Elephas maximus indicus: one gene and its partner. The protein of the gene in region 1 purifies or fractionates together with the protein of each later gene. This does not show direct contact. Links are inferred from orthologs where the notes say so. Each region holds a gene or a part of one and is shown in the gene's direction. Other genes may lie near its edges.

Region 1 (8,086 bases):
CTTGAAGGAATGAGATTTAGAATTAAGAAATACTCATGGGGAGGCTGGGAGAGGATCAGCAATGGGTGGCCACCCGGCTGAGGTGAAGGGCAGGAAAAGAGACGGGGGGCCTAGGGTTCCCTTGGGCAAGGTGCTGGGAGAAGACCACCACTCAACTGGCGCCTCCCACCTGGCTCGGGTGCAGATTTCCTGGTGGAAAAGGACCAGGAGTACTGCGTGTGCGAAATGCCCTGCAACCTGACCCGCTACGGCAAGGAGCTGTCCATGGTCAAGATCCCCAGCAAAGCTTCAGCCAAGTACCTGGCCAAAAAATTCAACAAGTCTGAGCAGTACATAGGGTAAGGGCTCTGACTGTGACCTTAAGCTGGGGACTATGAAGGGTATGAGGGGTCTGATGGGAGACAGGCAGGAGGAAGCTGAGATGACATGGGGAAGGCCCAAAGAGACTGGGGTGGGTATAGAGGGAAGATCAAGTCAGAATAAGCAGGAGGAAAGCCCCTTTCTCCCCACTCCCTGCTTGGTCTTCTATCTTCATCCTCACTGCTGTAAGTGTGATCAGTTCACACTTCCCAGTGCGCATAGTATCTTTTTGTACAGAACATATCCTTTAACCCTCAGCAACCCCACAAAGCAGGTAGCTCCATTAGCATCTCATTTTATAGATATGGAGACTTAGATTCTGAGAGGTTAACTTGCTAAGGTCACCCAATTAGTAAGGGACAGAGATATGACTTGAACCTAGGTCTCCTCCCCCAACCCCACTGCAGGGAGAACATCCTGGTGCTGGACATTTTCTTTGAAGTCCTCAACTATGAGACCATTGAGCAGAAGAAGGCCTATGAGATTGCAGGGCTCCTGGGTGAGCTACTGATGGCACCTGTTCCCTTCCAGTGCTACGGACATGGCCTGGCCCCTACCACCCAAAGCAGGGTGCTTACCTCTGTCACAGGAGGCTCCCCCACCCCTAGGGGCCTTTCCCCAAATCCTATTGTCTCAGTATGTGGTGAGAAGAGGAGGCTGACACTTCTCGTCCAAAAACCCACTGCTGTCAAGTCGATTCCAACTCATACTGACCTCATAGGGTTTCCAAGGCTGTAAATCTCAACAGAAGTAGACTGCCACATCTTTCTCCTGCAGGGAGGCTGGTAGTTTCCAACTGCCGACCTTTCAGTTAGCAGTCCATTGCTTTAACCACTGTGCCACCAGGGCTCCAAGGCTTCTTTTAGAGACAGGCCTATGTCCATGAGCGCCGGGCAAGGGGTGGATGTGGGACTATCGTACATATCCCTGAAAGTTGGCCCAGACACTGAGAGTGTTCGGTTATTTTGTAAACAATTGTTTTTCCTGAAATATTACCTGTTCTAGAAAAGTAGAAAAATGCAGAAAAGCATAAAAAAAAAAAAAAGAGTGCCATCGAGTCGATTCCGACCCATAGCGTATATAGGACAGAGTAGAACTGCCCCATAGAGTTTCCAAGGAGCGCCTGGTGGATTCCAACTGCCGACCCTTTGGTCAGCAGCCGTAGGACTTAACCATTATGGGAAGAAAAGAAAAATCCCTCTAGAATCTGGCTTTGCGCTCCTTCTGTACGAAGGCTACCAATCCCCTTGCGAATACGACCTGCCCACCCCTGTCCCAGTGAGCCCGGCTGGCCTCCAAAGTGTCCGGACCCCACTGACCTCCCCGCCGCTCCTGCAGGTGACATTGGGGGCCAGATGGGGCTGTTCATCGGCGCCAGCATCCTCACGGTGCTGGAGCTCTTTGACTACGCCTATGAGGTGAGCCGGCTGGGAGGCCCGGGGCCGGGGCCACGGGGGCGGGATTCCAGCCCACCCACCCCCACGCTGCACCCCCATTGCAGGTCATTAAGCACAAGCTGTGCCGACGAGGGAAGTGTCAGAAGGAAGCCAAAAGGAGTAGTGCCGATAAGGGCGTGGCCCTCAGCCTGGATGACGTCAAGAGACACGTGAGGGAGCAAGCGAGGGGCGCCCTCCCCACCGCCTTCCTCCCCCACCACCCCAGGACCAGCCACCCCGCCCTTGGCCTCTTCTCTCCTTTCCCTCCCCCACGCCCCAGAGCCCCCTGTGGCCCTTCCGATAACCAGTCCCTATCCTGTGCCCTTCCCCTAGAACCCGTGCGAGAGCCTCCGTGGCCATCCTGCTGGAATGACTTACGCTGCCAACATCCTACCTCACCATCCGGCCCGAGGCACGTTTGAAGACTTTACCTGCTGAGCCCTGCAGGCCACTGTACCAAAGGCCTAGATGGGGAGGGCTAGAAGAGCAACGGGGCCTGCTAGCCCCATCTGTCTTGGGGACTCACCCCCCACTCTAAGGGCAGCCCCCCATTCCTAGGCAGTCCTTTCTTCTTGTCTGTGGTGAGGAAGGAGTCTTGACCTTAGGGTCTTCTCCCTGCCTCTATTCCATTCTTTTAATTTTTAACAAAACTAATCTAAGAGACACTAAAAAGAGAGAAAGGGGCAAGGGACCTTAGGCTGCCCCTCTCTGCCCCATGCTGCCTCCCCCAGCTCCCAGCCTGAATTCTGTCTGTCTGGCTGTCTGTCATCTGAGTGTCCACCTACATTTGCTGCCACCAGTCACCAAAGTCCTCTCCCAGTGGGGGGTGGAGGGGATTCCCCCCGGGGTCTGTAGTTTTCCTGAAACCAGAGAATGTACCTTGAGGGGGAGGGCTAGTGGAAGGGAGCTTCCCCAGCCTTAAGCGACCCTCTCAGCCCAGTGACCTACCCAACCCCAAGTCTCTGGGCAGGATCTAAGACCCCAGTCCCATCCCCTCACACCATGTGGAGTCTTTAGGGGGCTGGGTGGGGGGATTCACTGAAGAAGTAGATATGGGGGCAAGGTGTGGCCCTGGTGCTGTAGGCCACATCCTGATACCTACAAGCTCACCCTCACCCCAGAGCTGTAGCTGCTGGAGAGAAATCCCAAGAGACAGCCTCCACTGTCCCATAAAAGACCCCGCTGGTTGGCTTCCAGCTCAGGGAGAGGAGCACTGGTGCCTGACCTCACTGGTCCGTCTCCCAGGGGCCCCTGCAGAGGGCCACATCCATAAATTTTCTTATGGAACTCCCCCAAGTCTGCTTCCCCAACTCCATTTGCTTCTCTCAACAACCTCATCTGCATTTTCTATTTCTATATGATACAGACTCTATATTGCTATATCTCTGTATATACTTCCCCCAACCTTGTCTGTCTCCACCCCATCCCCTCTTGTCTCTGAGAACCACCCGCCCCAAGATCCCCCTTGTGTGTCTCTGCCTCCTCCCTGGTCTCTGAATGCCTTCGCCTGTATAAAGAGTTGGACTCTCTCCCCTGGTGTCTGTACTGTGTACACACATCCCTCTGAGAAGCACAAGGAGACGACACGCGCATTGTAACCTTCGCACTGTCTTGGTGGCGACATAAAGGAAGCTGTGAATCACAAGCTCTGCCTCTTTCTGGCCTCACCCTCTCCCCCTATTCTGGGCACCCTCTGCCCTCCCTGCAGCCTTAACATTCCCGTCCCCTGCTCCATCCACCCCAATGCCCTTTGCCTGGCTGACTGCAGCCTCCCCAGGGAAGGGGTTGTAACAGAGATAGTCCTTACCCAGGAGATGAAGACTGCTCTGGAAATTAAGCCAAGAAGAACTTTTCCCAAGCTGGCAGCCTTTTTTCAGATACAAAAGGGAGCTGGGGATTGGTAACTCTCGCAACTGGGCAGCAGGGTGTAAACAGGCAGAAAGGAAGGTCCCCAGTCAGTGGCCTTTTCCTCCTTCTGGGTGCCCAACCCCTTTCTCTCTCTTCATACCCAAGCCTACCACTCATATTTTCTGGCGAGGTGGGCTTTGGTAGTAGGAGGAAAGAGACAGGCCTAGAGGGGGAGTTGAAAGCTTTGCTGTTCTGTTCCTCTCTCCTTAATGAGAGATGAGTGATGGAGAGGGCCTGCCTCCCTCACCCCCCACCCCCTGTCCCAGGCATTCCTCCCAGGCCAGAGTCCCAATCCCTTCCTAGGTGTTTTCTGCTCAACTGTCTCTGGGTCTCCAACCCCAGGACAGGATCTGTGGGCAGGTCACCTGTGCATTGGCCTGGAGTTGGTGAGTAAGGCTGTCGGATCTTTGGGAACTCTTTGTTTGTAGGAGTTGCTTAGAGACCAGACCTCCCCAAAGGGAAACAGTAGCAAGGCCAAGAAGTGTGCAGTGGATGGGGGAACAGCAGGCGGGACTCTGCGTGACGCATGCGTCTGGTCTAATAAACTGGGTTTCAACCATCTCCTCTTCAGTGTTGTTCTTCACTTATTTGAAAGGTAGTTAGGTCTTCCCATGAAGTGCTTAGCACTGGACCTTAGCTTGGGGCCAATCAGAATGAAGAGTAAGGAGAGGGTTTGATTGGGAGGTCCTGATGCTCTTGGGATGGGGCAGGCTGACCATCACGAGGGAATGGTTTGAACTAGTTTGAACTACAATACTGGGCAGGGAGAGAGGGAGGGGTCAAAAGCAACAAAGACCTCAAAGAGAAGCTCCACCACAAAGGATTCCTTGAAGAGCTGGATCAAAATTCAAGATACACTGGAATGTTAAATCTGGAACGAGTTAGGTTAAAGGTCAGGGACAAAGTTGGGCTGAAGTTCCAGTGTGAGGTGGTTATTAAGGCACTTTATTTTTTATCCGTGGAATGAACTACGGGCTAGGAGCCAAGAGATCTGGATCCTAGGAATGACTCTGCTGTAACTTGCTGGTTGACCTTTGCCAAGTCATTTACCCTCTTTGAGCTCAATTTTCCCGTTTGCAAAATGGAATAAACAGTGCGTTCCTCTCCTCAGCCCCCCAGAGTTATAGCGGTAAGGGAATGAAACGGAAGATAATCAAAGCGCTTTGGAAAGTTAAAAGTACTGCGCCAAAATGAAGCATTTACTCCGCCACCCTCTTCAGAGGCTTAGGGCAGGGTCTGTGAGTGCCCTCTCCAGGTCTTTCTCTTCCTCCGGTCGGCCTGGGGGCGCCCTCTCTCAGGGCCTCTCTAGCCTAGAGTTCGTCTCTATGGTTTTCGACCCTGGACCATGAAGGCGGGAGGGAGTGGTCAGCGCAGCCTTTTCCGCTGGTCCCCCCCACTCTAGCCCACAGTCTTGCTGCCCTAAGCCTCCCGAGCCGGCCGGCTGGCCGGGCTGACAGGCGGGCGCTCGGGGGGCGCGCAAGGGGCGGGGGGAGTTCCGGTTCCGGTTCTTTGTGCAGCTGCTGCGGCGGCTCCAGAGAAGATGGCGGCCCGGGCGGGTTTCCAGTCGGTGGCCCCGAGCGGCGGCGCCGGAGCCTCAGGAGGGGCGGGCGCGGCGGCCACCCTGGGCCCGGGTGGGACTCCGGGGCCCCCAGTGCGAATGGGCCCGGCGCCGGGTCAAGGGCTGTACCGCTCCCCGATGCCCGGAGCGGCCTATCCGGTGAGTGGGGCAGGAGGAGGGGCGCGCGGGCCGGGGGCGGGGCCGAGCGGGGGCCTGGGAGTGACAAGGGTGCGGGGAGAAGTAGGAGGGACTCTCCTGGAAAGATTCAGGCCCGGGGTGGGGATGGGGGTGGGGAAGGCAGTTGGGAGGAAAGTAGGGGGAGCAGTTAGCATCCCCACCTGCTGCTAGGGGCATTGTTTCCGTAGGAAGTAAGGTTATAGGATCAGCGTGGATGAAGTGGGGCCACTAGGGGTGGGCATTTGAGGTCTGGAGTGCAGAGAGGCTGGAGCAGCTCCAGTGCCCAGAGGAAGACAGAAGGTAGAGCTGGTAAATTGGGGTCAGCGTTTACGGAAATAATAGCTGGCAGAGTCAGTGTGGGACTAGAGATGTTTGATCTGTCAGATCCAAAATAGATTGGGGAGAATTTTAGTATAAGTTGGCTGTATTCTGTGGAACCATGATTGGAGTGGAGGAAACCTAAGTTGCCCATATTTCAAAGAGTCAGAGGGCTCTCGCCTCATTTTCCTCCACCCCACACCCCAGTCCTGTTTTGTTCAAAGAACTCAGGCACGCCGAACTTTCCCTTTCCGGATGAAGTTAGCAAGGAAGGCCGTGACATCTCTGGGTCTTCTCCCCTCCATAGAGACCAGGTATGCTGCCAGGCAGCCGAATGACACCTCAGGGACCTTCCATGGGACCTCCTGGCTATGGGGGGAACCCTTCAGTCCGACCTGGCCTGGCCCAGTCAGGGATGGATCAGTCCCGCAAGAGACCTGCGCCTCAGCAGATCCAGCAGGTCCAGCAACAGGCAGTCCAAAATCGAAACCACAAGTAAGATGACCCTGGGGCAGAGGGAGGGAGGGAAGAGGTCTGTGAGGACACAGGTGGGAGTACTGTGAACCAAGAAGTGGTGGTGCTGTGTCAGCAGCCTGGTGCGTGCTGGGGAACTCATTCTGAGAATGCCTCATGCTGCTTGGAGGCAAGGGGGTTCTTTGACTTGAGAGAAGCTTTGCAGCCCCTCCACTTTATATAAATGGAGATGCTGACAGCTTGTTTTCATGTTCTGACTAGTGCCATCCCAACCTCATAACAGTATTTATTCCATACAGTGCAAAGAAAAAGAAGATGGCTGACAAAATTCTACCTCAAAGGGTGAGTCCAGGCTGTAGATCTCCCTGAGAGTGTAGTGAGTTTGAGAATAGAGATGGTCAGCTCTAGATGCCAATTATATCTTTCTGTTCCTAAGATTCGTGAACTGGTACCAGAATCTCAGGCCTATATGGATCTCTTGGCTTTTGAAAGGAAGCTGGATCAGACTATCATGAGGAAACGGCTAGATATCCAGGAGGCCTTGAAACGTCCCATCAAGGTAATGCAGGAGAGCGCTAGGCAGAGAGCTGAAGGAAAGGACTCGGGAACCTTCAGCAGGCTTAGCATGAGAAATTAAAGGCGCAGCACAGCTCTCCTTGGCATTTAAATTGCATCTCTCCCTTCCGCCTACAAACTGAGAATTACATTAGGAGCATAAGAACAGAACAGCGAGGGGGAGGAACTTTTCATGTCCCTAGCACCAGAAATACATCCTGTCCATGTTTTTGTTACAACTGCTTTGCTGCCTTTGGGATCTGGCACCCTGCATGACTTTATCCCAGTGTATGCACTCAACGCTCAGATCAGTGGCCTGTACTCCCCTTCTCGGTGGACTCTCCATTCACCCACCCCAGGGACTGGATAGACAGTAAGCCAGATGTTAGGAGTAATTTTGGGGTTTGGGGAGACCCTAGCCTTCAGCATCAGACCACTGAAGCCCCGCCATCAATCCTGTTTCTGCCTTCCTCAGCAAAAACGGAAGCTGCGAATTTTCATTTCTAACACTTTCAATCCGGCTAAGTCAGATGCCGAGGATGGGGAAGGGACGGTGGCTTCCTGGGAGCTTCGGGTAGAAGGACGGCTCCTGGAGGATGTGAGTTCAAGGTCAATGGTGGTCGGTGTCTAGGGTGGGAGCTGTGGGGAACAAGCAGTGTTGTCTGGTCAGCAGGAAGCCTGACCGGTGCTTACAATTCCTGTTGGGAGCAGCAGGGAGAGGGGAACTCTGTTCCCTGCACTGGAAGACAATGGTTCTTTGTGTCTGGCTCCCACAGCTTTGGCCCTCACTGTGGTAGCATATCGAGAACCATATTGTCCTAGGATCTGATTTGTTGTTTACGTTCTTCCTGGTGCTGCTGGCCATTGGATTTATCAGTATCTGCAGAATACTTTAGTTTTTTTTTAATTTATTTTTAATCAAGTGAGTCTGCAGTTGGCATTTGAAGCCATGATTTCCTCTCTTGAGTCGTTGAGGTCCTTGATTCCTATTGAGGCATCTCCCTTTTTCCCAGCTTTTATTGGAGACACCTCGCTGTTAAAGTGAGATAGATTTCTCTGGCAGGCTCTTGTCATTTCATAAGGAGCATCAGCTGACAGGTGGTAGCCCCCAAACTTCCCACTCTAGCGGCTCCTTGGGGAAGCTCACCTTTCTCTCATTCCCTTATACTTTGTAGCTCTCTATTTTTAGATTTTCACAGGCAAGCTTATTTGAATGCATGTTTGTAGGAGAACCAGGGCTTGGTATCAGAGGCTTCTTCTTCTCTATATGAGTCCAGTCCATCTGCTGATGTTGTCATTC
Region 2 (7,402 bases), on another chromosome or scaffold:
TGACGGCACTCGGTTTTTTTGGGGGGGGTATTGAGGTGGTTAGCAGATTTCTTACAATTTTAATGGCAAACAGATGTGTGAATCTGACTGATCGTATTTCTATTGTTGAAAAACCCTAAATTCCAGGTATTCATTCTCTGTTATGTAGTGTCTACATGAGTGTTATATTTTTAGAACTTCAGTAAACAGAGGATGGTGCTTACAATGGCTTTTTGTACATGTGTTTTATATCCAGACAGAAGTGTCCACATTGAAATTTGCTTTTCATAAATGCTAGTGTCATATATAAAATTATGTTATGAAATAACATAATTTTAAGTGTACCTGAATGTTTGTGTCATTTCCTTTAGGACCTGTCTTAACAGATGGATGCTAATGTTCTGAATTTGTATCCTAGATTGCATTAATAACAGTTTTTTTCAACTCTAAACTTAATAAAGGCTGAGACAAAGGACAAGAGCAGTCTTTTTGCAATAACTGCTGTGATTCTATAACCTGAGGACTGGGGAGCCAGTGACAAAAGGAGTAAAGCTGTAGCATCCCAAGTGTCCAGATGCAGCATTACAAGAATGGAAGACCAGTGCCTCCATGAGGCAAAACCAAGTGCTGTCCCTCAGTACATGGAAGACAGTCTGGATGCTTGGATTTTCTAAAGGAGTTTTGAAAGTGCACATGTTTTTGTAGATTTGGATTCAGAGTCAACCACTGAGCATCTACTGTGGGCTAGGTAAGTTAACACACATGCTATTTCAATCTCTTTTGGGTTTAGGTTGACATAACTAATAAGCATTGACTATTTTGATATGTTATGCCCGTGAAATGGAAGTGACAGATAGTAACCTTGAGTAGCATCTATTGTTGTTGTTTTTAAATTTGACTAGCTGTCTGTAGGAGTTCCTGGGTGGTGCAAAGTGAAAGGTTGGAGGTTCGAGTCCACCCCGAGGCACCTTGGAAGAAAAGCCTGGCGATCTACTTCAGAAAAATCAGGCATTGAAAAGCCTGTGGAGCACAGTTCTATTCTGACACACGTGAGGCTTCCTTGAGTTGGGGGGGGGGGGAAACTATCTGTAACATAATGTAGCAGAGTTTACATTAGAGAAAACATACTAGGGTACCCACTCAAATGCACTGCCATTGAGTGATCCCCATAGTGACCCCATGGGGTTTCCAAGACTGTAAATCTCTATGGAAGAGATGTCTTTCTCCCAAGCAGTGGGCTGGAGGTTTCGAACGCCCACCTTTTTGTTATTAATTGCTTTAACACTGTGCTACCAGAGCGCCTTGTGTTAGGCTACAGAGGAGAAATATTAATGCAGGAAAAAAAAGCCTCAGGTATTTCACGTTTGGTAAAGTAGATTCTGCTGGGTTAATACTTTTAATGTATTTTCTACTAATTTTTCTAATTATGAGAATGGAAGAAAACAAGCTGCTATTGCAAAAGTTTCCCCAGCATTGACAATGGTATAACAGCTTGTTTAGCCTGCTGAATGAGTGTCCTTTCTTTTTTTTTTTAATAATTTTTATTGTGCTTTAAGTGAAAGTTTACAAATCAAGTTAGTCTCTCACACAAAAACTTATATACACCTTGCTACATACTCCCAATTACTCTCCCCCTAATGATACAGCCCACTTCCTCCCTCCACTCTCTCTTTTCATATCCGTTTCGCCAGCTTCTAACCCCCTCTACCCTCTCATCTCCCCTCCAGGCAGGAGATACCAACATAGTCCCAAGTGTCCACCTGATCCAAGAAGCTCAATGAGTGTCCTTTCTTAACAGTCACCTGTATCTGCATTAACATGTGATGAGCACTGACACATCAGATGTACCATGAAGAAGTTCATTTCATTTGAAGCTCATTTCAATGGTTAATAAACACAATGAGTTCAGTGATACATCAAGAAAACAGGCTGACCTGAAATTATGAATGGTCTGCTTTCTAATATTTCTCCAAATTACCAAAGAGGGCAAAATCCTTCCTTTAAAATCAAACACATCCAAGCATGACTTAGCAGTCTTCTCTCTAGCTCTCTTCTTGGTACTATCATATCTGAGATTCCCCCTGCCCCCCGCACTGCAGTGTGAAGATGGTGGGAGAAGACAGTCTGAGCATCCCAGGCTTCTCCTCTGCTGCACAAATAAGGTAGGTATCTTATTTCTAGAATATATTCTTTTCCATGCACGGGAGACGATGGAGATAATATTAATAAGAGCAGTATGTATAATCCATTTAAGTTGGTGTGTGTGTGTGTGTGTTAGCTGAGACTCCATGTATAATAGAATAAAATGTTGCCCAGGACCATACCATCTTCATGATTGTTGGCCTGTTTGAGTCCATTGATTCTGCCACTCTATCAGTCCATCTTACTGAGGATTTCCCATGCCTTTGCTGGCTCTCAACTTTACAAACATGATATCCTTCTCCGGTGACTGGACCTAGTATGACGCATTCAAAGTAAGCAAGTTGAAGTCTCAGACAATGTTCTTGATTGATAGAGTTTTTCATTATGAATTACTATGCATTCAAATGCTAAATTGATTAAATGCATTACTAATTTAAAAAACTTACAAATAGTATCTCTTCAATATTTAACTATTAAAGATCAAAGTATCACAATATTTTATAAATCATCAGCTTTATTAGCCAAACACATCATAAAAACAGAGTGGAAGTAGAAGCATTTTGGGGATTTGAGATGCCCCTACAGTGAGCTACAATCATGGGGACCACAGTTAACACAGCGTACCTCGGTGCACCCTCCATTACATGTGTTATCTGCAGGGTTGGCAAACTTCTCCTGAAAAGGGTCTGAGAAAGTATTTTAGGATTAGTGGACCACACTGTCTCTGTTACAACTAGTCAACTCTGCTTTTATGGAGTGAAAGCAGCTATAAGTGAACGAGCTTGTATGTGTTTCACTAAAACGTAGTTTATGGTCACCAAAATTTAAATTTTCACATCATGAAATACTATGCTTAAAAATTTTTTTTGTTGTTTTTTGGTAAACTCTTAAAAATGTAATAACCATTCTTAGCTCTAGTAATAGGTCATACAAAAACAGATGACAGGCTGGGTTTGGCCTTCAGGCGACAGTTAGCAAACCCCTGCATTACCTCATTGGGTTAAATGATGGGTTAAATAATCAGATGTGATGTGAGATAGTCCTATTGTCAAATGAATGGGAGTTTTCTCACTAGCCCTGTTCAGCACCCCAATTCTCATCTCTTTCCCACTCTGCTGGCTCTGAGATTGATGGGGGCTTTATTCAATCGATCCTAAAGAGTAGCGGCTATCTGTCCAAACTCTAGATATACTAACTTAAGAACTGATATTAACCGCAAGGATATGCAACACCGTTAAGTGTCCGAGTTGGACTGGCATGGCCAGATTTTGTAAAGATTAAGCGTCCTGTAGTGTGGTGAAAAGGCAGAGTAACAAGTTGTTGGAGTAATCCAGGGAAGAAGCCACTGTGATCTGGACTGGACCAGACGGGTGGAAACAGGGGACTATGAACAGTCTGGAGATAGATTTAGGATTAGGATTAGGATAGATTTAGGATTAGGTGGTTGCTGGGATGAGGGTTGATTGAAACCTATCTCACAGGATTAAAAATAAAGGATGACAGTATAAAGTGCTACCTAAATTTACTTGTTATGTCTTTCTCCTTTAAATTATTAGCAACCATTTAAAAAATTCCAGGATCCTTTCAGTTCGTTTGATTTACTGATTCCTTGTACCCTAAATATTTTAATTTTTTCAACATAAAAGTTAGTGAAAACTACTTTTTCTAAAAGAAAAAATATTCCTCATTCATCACATTCCAAAGCCAGGAATCACTGCATGAAAACACTTTGAATTTCTAGACTCTACTTCCAGTGGTTGGAGCCCTGGTGGCGCAGTGGTTTAGAGCTCAGCTCCCAAAGGAAAGGTCGACAGTTCGAATCCACCCGCCGGTCCTTGGAAACCCAACGGTAGTTCTGCTCAGTCCATAGGGTCGCTATGGGTCGGAATCGACTCCACGACAACCGGTTTGGTTTTTTTTTTATTTTACGGGTGGTTTGCCTTCCTTTACCCGGTTCCCGTCGCTCCCCGCAGCCCAGCCACACCCCCGGACCCGCCCCCGACACTGCCGTCCAGCCTTCCTCCTCATCCTCCTGCGCCACCACACTCTCCCCGCCCACCCCGGTAAGCCCCGCCCTTCCAGTTCCGCAGCCCAACTCATTCTCTCTTTGCGTCGCTCCCTCCCCTCCCACTCCCCATGGCTGCCTTCGATTGGCTAAACTAGCTGAGCCGCGGCAGGGAAGCAGCATAGGTTCATTCTGAATGGCCAGAGCGTAGCCTGGGCCGCTCGTGTTTGGCTGGCAGGAGGGGCCAGCAAGTGTGGCTGTGCTCCAGGGTGTGCGGACGCTGCTTTGTTGCCTGAGGGGCGTGGCGTTGGAAGTTGAGGGGGTCGGCGTAACGCGTCGTGGGACCTGCAGTTGCAGCCGCTGCGGTTCCTTGGCCGGGTGTCTTGTGGCGTAGGCGTCGCGCCAGAAGCAACCATGAGCGGTGGTGTGTACGGGGGAGGTGAGTGAGTGCGGCCAGAAGGGAGCGCGGCTCCTGGAGTGTGGGGTCCGTGACTGCCGTCCGCATCCCTCCTCGTCGGCCCTTTCGGGTTTCCCACTCGGGACCGGCTCCCCGCCCCATCCCCGCCCTGCGCTCTGCCCGCCCCAGACCCCCGGGCTCGGTGAGCGCCTCGGGCTCGGGCCCTTCCGCGGCCCCTGGAGGGCGCTCGGGCTCGGGCTGCGCAGGAGCTCCGCTCGGGGCCGCCGTTTTCCGGAGTCTCCACAGCCGGCCGCGTCGGGGTGCGTGTGAGCTCGGGCTTGGGAGGTCCGGCAGTTCGCTAGCGTGGAGCCTGAATCGCAGAGCGCGCCGCGACGGGCGGAAGGGCTTGGAGGCGCGGCGGCCGCTCGGGACCAGCCCTCCGTCCGCGATGCCTCCCGCCTTCAGTAGCTCCCGGCGCTTTGTTGACTGGAGTCCCTGACTGGGACCCCTGACTGGGGGCCCTGACTGGAGTCCCCAGAGTTCCTCGTGGGCGGGTTTGTTTGGGATTACTTGCGGAACACGTGTGATTGAAGGGTGTCGCAGAGAGCTTGCCGCCATCCCGCGTGCCTTTTGGTTTGTTTCTGTGGGTAGGCTGTGGTGTGGGGGAAGATCACAGCGGGCCTGGGACCGACACAGACCTGCGCGGTAATATCATCCGCCCCATTTGTTCGGCCCTTGGGGCGAGTCACCTCTCCACTTGAGGCTCCTCCTTTATGGAATGAGAACGATCATACTTACCTGAGGGGGTGGTCGTGAAGGTAAACTGAGATAATGCGTATCCATATTACTCAGTGAGGTTCATGGACCAGCAGTATAAGCATCACGTGGGAGCTTTGTAGAAATGCAGAATCTTAGGCCTTCCTCTAAATCTACTGAATCAGATCCTGTATTTTTGTAAGATTCCCGGGTGATTTGAAGCACTGATGTATATGGTTCACATTTTGCATTGTGTTTGATGAGTTAGAGAACAAGGAGACAAATCCAAAGTATGGGCATTGTTACTGTTTCTAGTAGGGATTTCTTTTCTGAAGATGGCATTTTTTGGGTAGGGGGTAAACAAAAACAAAGCTTCAAAGTTCTTAGTTTTTGGAGTGTAGTTTCAGAGTCTCTTCTGAGGTAGTATAGGGACCCTTGCCCCCTCTCTCCCTTTTTGTTTATGTCCTTGGTTTTCATTTCTGAATGTAAGAGTCAGTAGTTTCCCACTATTATTTTGGAGAGGTCCTAGAGGATCTTCATGATTTACGTCTTCCCAGTCTAAAGGTGCAATCCTGACAGAAAAACAGCGTCTATGTGCCCTGTGCCTCGTGGAGGCTGTTGATGTTATTACGACTTTAGGTTCACTGATCCAAGAAGTATTTCCTGACAGGGTGTCTCAGCTATCTATTGCTCCTATAACAGAAATACCACAAGTGGGTGACTTTAACAGAAATTTATTTTCTCACAGTTTAGAAGACTAGAAGTCTGAATTCAGGGCACCGGCTCTAGGGGAAGGTTTTCTTTCTGTTGACTCTGGGGGAACGTCCTTGTCATCAGTCTTCCCCTGGTCTAGGAGCTTCTCAGCACAGGAACCCGGGGTCCAAAGGACCCCTTCCTCTCCTGGTGTGAGGTCCATCTCCTCTCTGCTTGATTCTCTCTTTTATATCTCAAAAGAGATTGACTCAAGATATAACCTAATCCTGTAGATTGAGTCCTGCCTCATTAACATAACTGCCTCTAATCCCGTCTCATCAGAAATGAAATGGAACACATAATGGTTGATGTCCTAGGCGTTGTTAGTGAGTTGAAATGGACTGGTATTGGCCATTTTGAATAGGACGATCGTATGGCTGACTATGCCAGTAACAACAACTTGAAGAGGAATGGTGTCAAATTCATCATCAAAAAGAACATTTCAAGATATATCCTGAATTAAACCCTACCAGTCGTAGGATAATATCCATTCGCCTACAAGAAAGGCCAGTTAATACGACTATTATTCAAATTTATGCACCAACCACTAATGCCAAAGGTGAATAAATTGAAGATTTTTACCAACTTCTGCAGTCTGAAATTGATCAAACGTGCAATCAAGATGCCTTGATAATTACTGGTGATTGGAATGCAAAAGTTGGAAATGAAGAAGGATTGGTAGTTAGAATATACGGCCTTGGTGGTGGAAGTGATGCCGGAGATCATGTGATAGAATTTTGAAAGACCACTGACTTTTTCATTGCATGTACCAATTTTCAGCAACATAAATGGCAGCTATACACGTGGACCTCGCCAGATGGAATATATAGGAATCAGATCGACTGTATCTGTAGAAAGAGACAATGGAGAAGCTCAATATCATCAGTCAGAACAAGGCCAGGAACCGACTGTGGAACAGAACATCAGTTGCTCATATGCAAGTTCAACTTGAAGCAAGTTAAAGAAAATTAAAACAAATCCATGAGAGCCAAAGTATGACCTTGAGTATATCCCAGCTGAATTTAGAGATCATCTCAAGAATAGATTTGATGCATTGAACGCTGATGACCAAAGACCAGACATCAAGAACATCATACATGAGGAAAACAAAAGGTCATTAAAAAGACTGAAAAGAGAAAGACCAAAATGAATGTCAGAAGAGACTCTGAAACTTGCTCTTGAACGTGGAGTAGCTAAAGCAAATGAAAGAGATGATGAAGAAAGTGAGCTGAACAGAAGATTTTAAAGGGTGGCTGGAGAAGACAAAGTATTTTAATAAAGTGTGCAAAGATCTGGAGTTAGAAAGCCAAAAGGGAGGAACACGCTTGTCCTTTCTCAAGCCAAAAGTACTGAAGAAGAAATTCAGGACT

The links. The genes of interacting proteins can lie anywhere in the genome.
Region 2: the proteins of SMARCD1 (region 1) and ACTL6A purify together in Homo sapiens (affinity purification with mass spectrometry; 8 studies listed by BioGRID and IntAct, with this or other methods). This does not show direct contact. The link is inferred for Elephas maximus indicus from reciprocal best matches to the Homo sapiens genes SMARCD1 and ACTL6A.

The regions. Positions count from the first base shown.
Region 1 is NC_064822.1:105,498,153-105,506,238, forward strand, and holds the start of SMARCD1 (SWI/SNF-related matrix-associated actin-dependent regulator of chromatin subfamily D member 1), read left to right. Parts: upstream 1-5,017; 5' UTR 5,018-5,244; coding exon 5,245-5,421; intron 5,422-6,064; coding exon 6,065-6,252; intron 6,253-6,530; coding exon 6,531-6,573; intron 6,574-6,667; coding exon 6,668-6,790; intron 6,791-7,261; coding exon 7,262-7,384; intron 7,385-8,086. Other genes in the region: ASIC1 (acid-sensing ion channel 1), read left to right, coding at 185-338, 768-859, 1,699-1,778, 1,862-1,966, 2,130-2,234. UniProt on the Homo sapiens protein: Involved in transcriptional activation and repression of select genes by chromatin remodeling (alteration of DNA-nucleosome topology).
Region 2 is NC_064819.1:35,368,345-35,375,746, reverse strand, and holds the start of ACTL6A (actin-like protein 6A), read left to right. Parts: upstream 1-4,340; 5' UTR 4,341-4,540; coding exon 4,541-4,565; intron 4,566-4,594; exon of another isoform or gene 4,595-4,843; intron 4,844-7,402.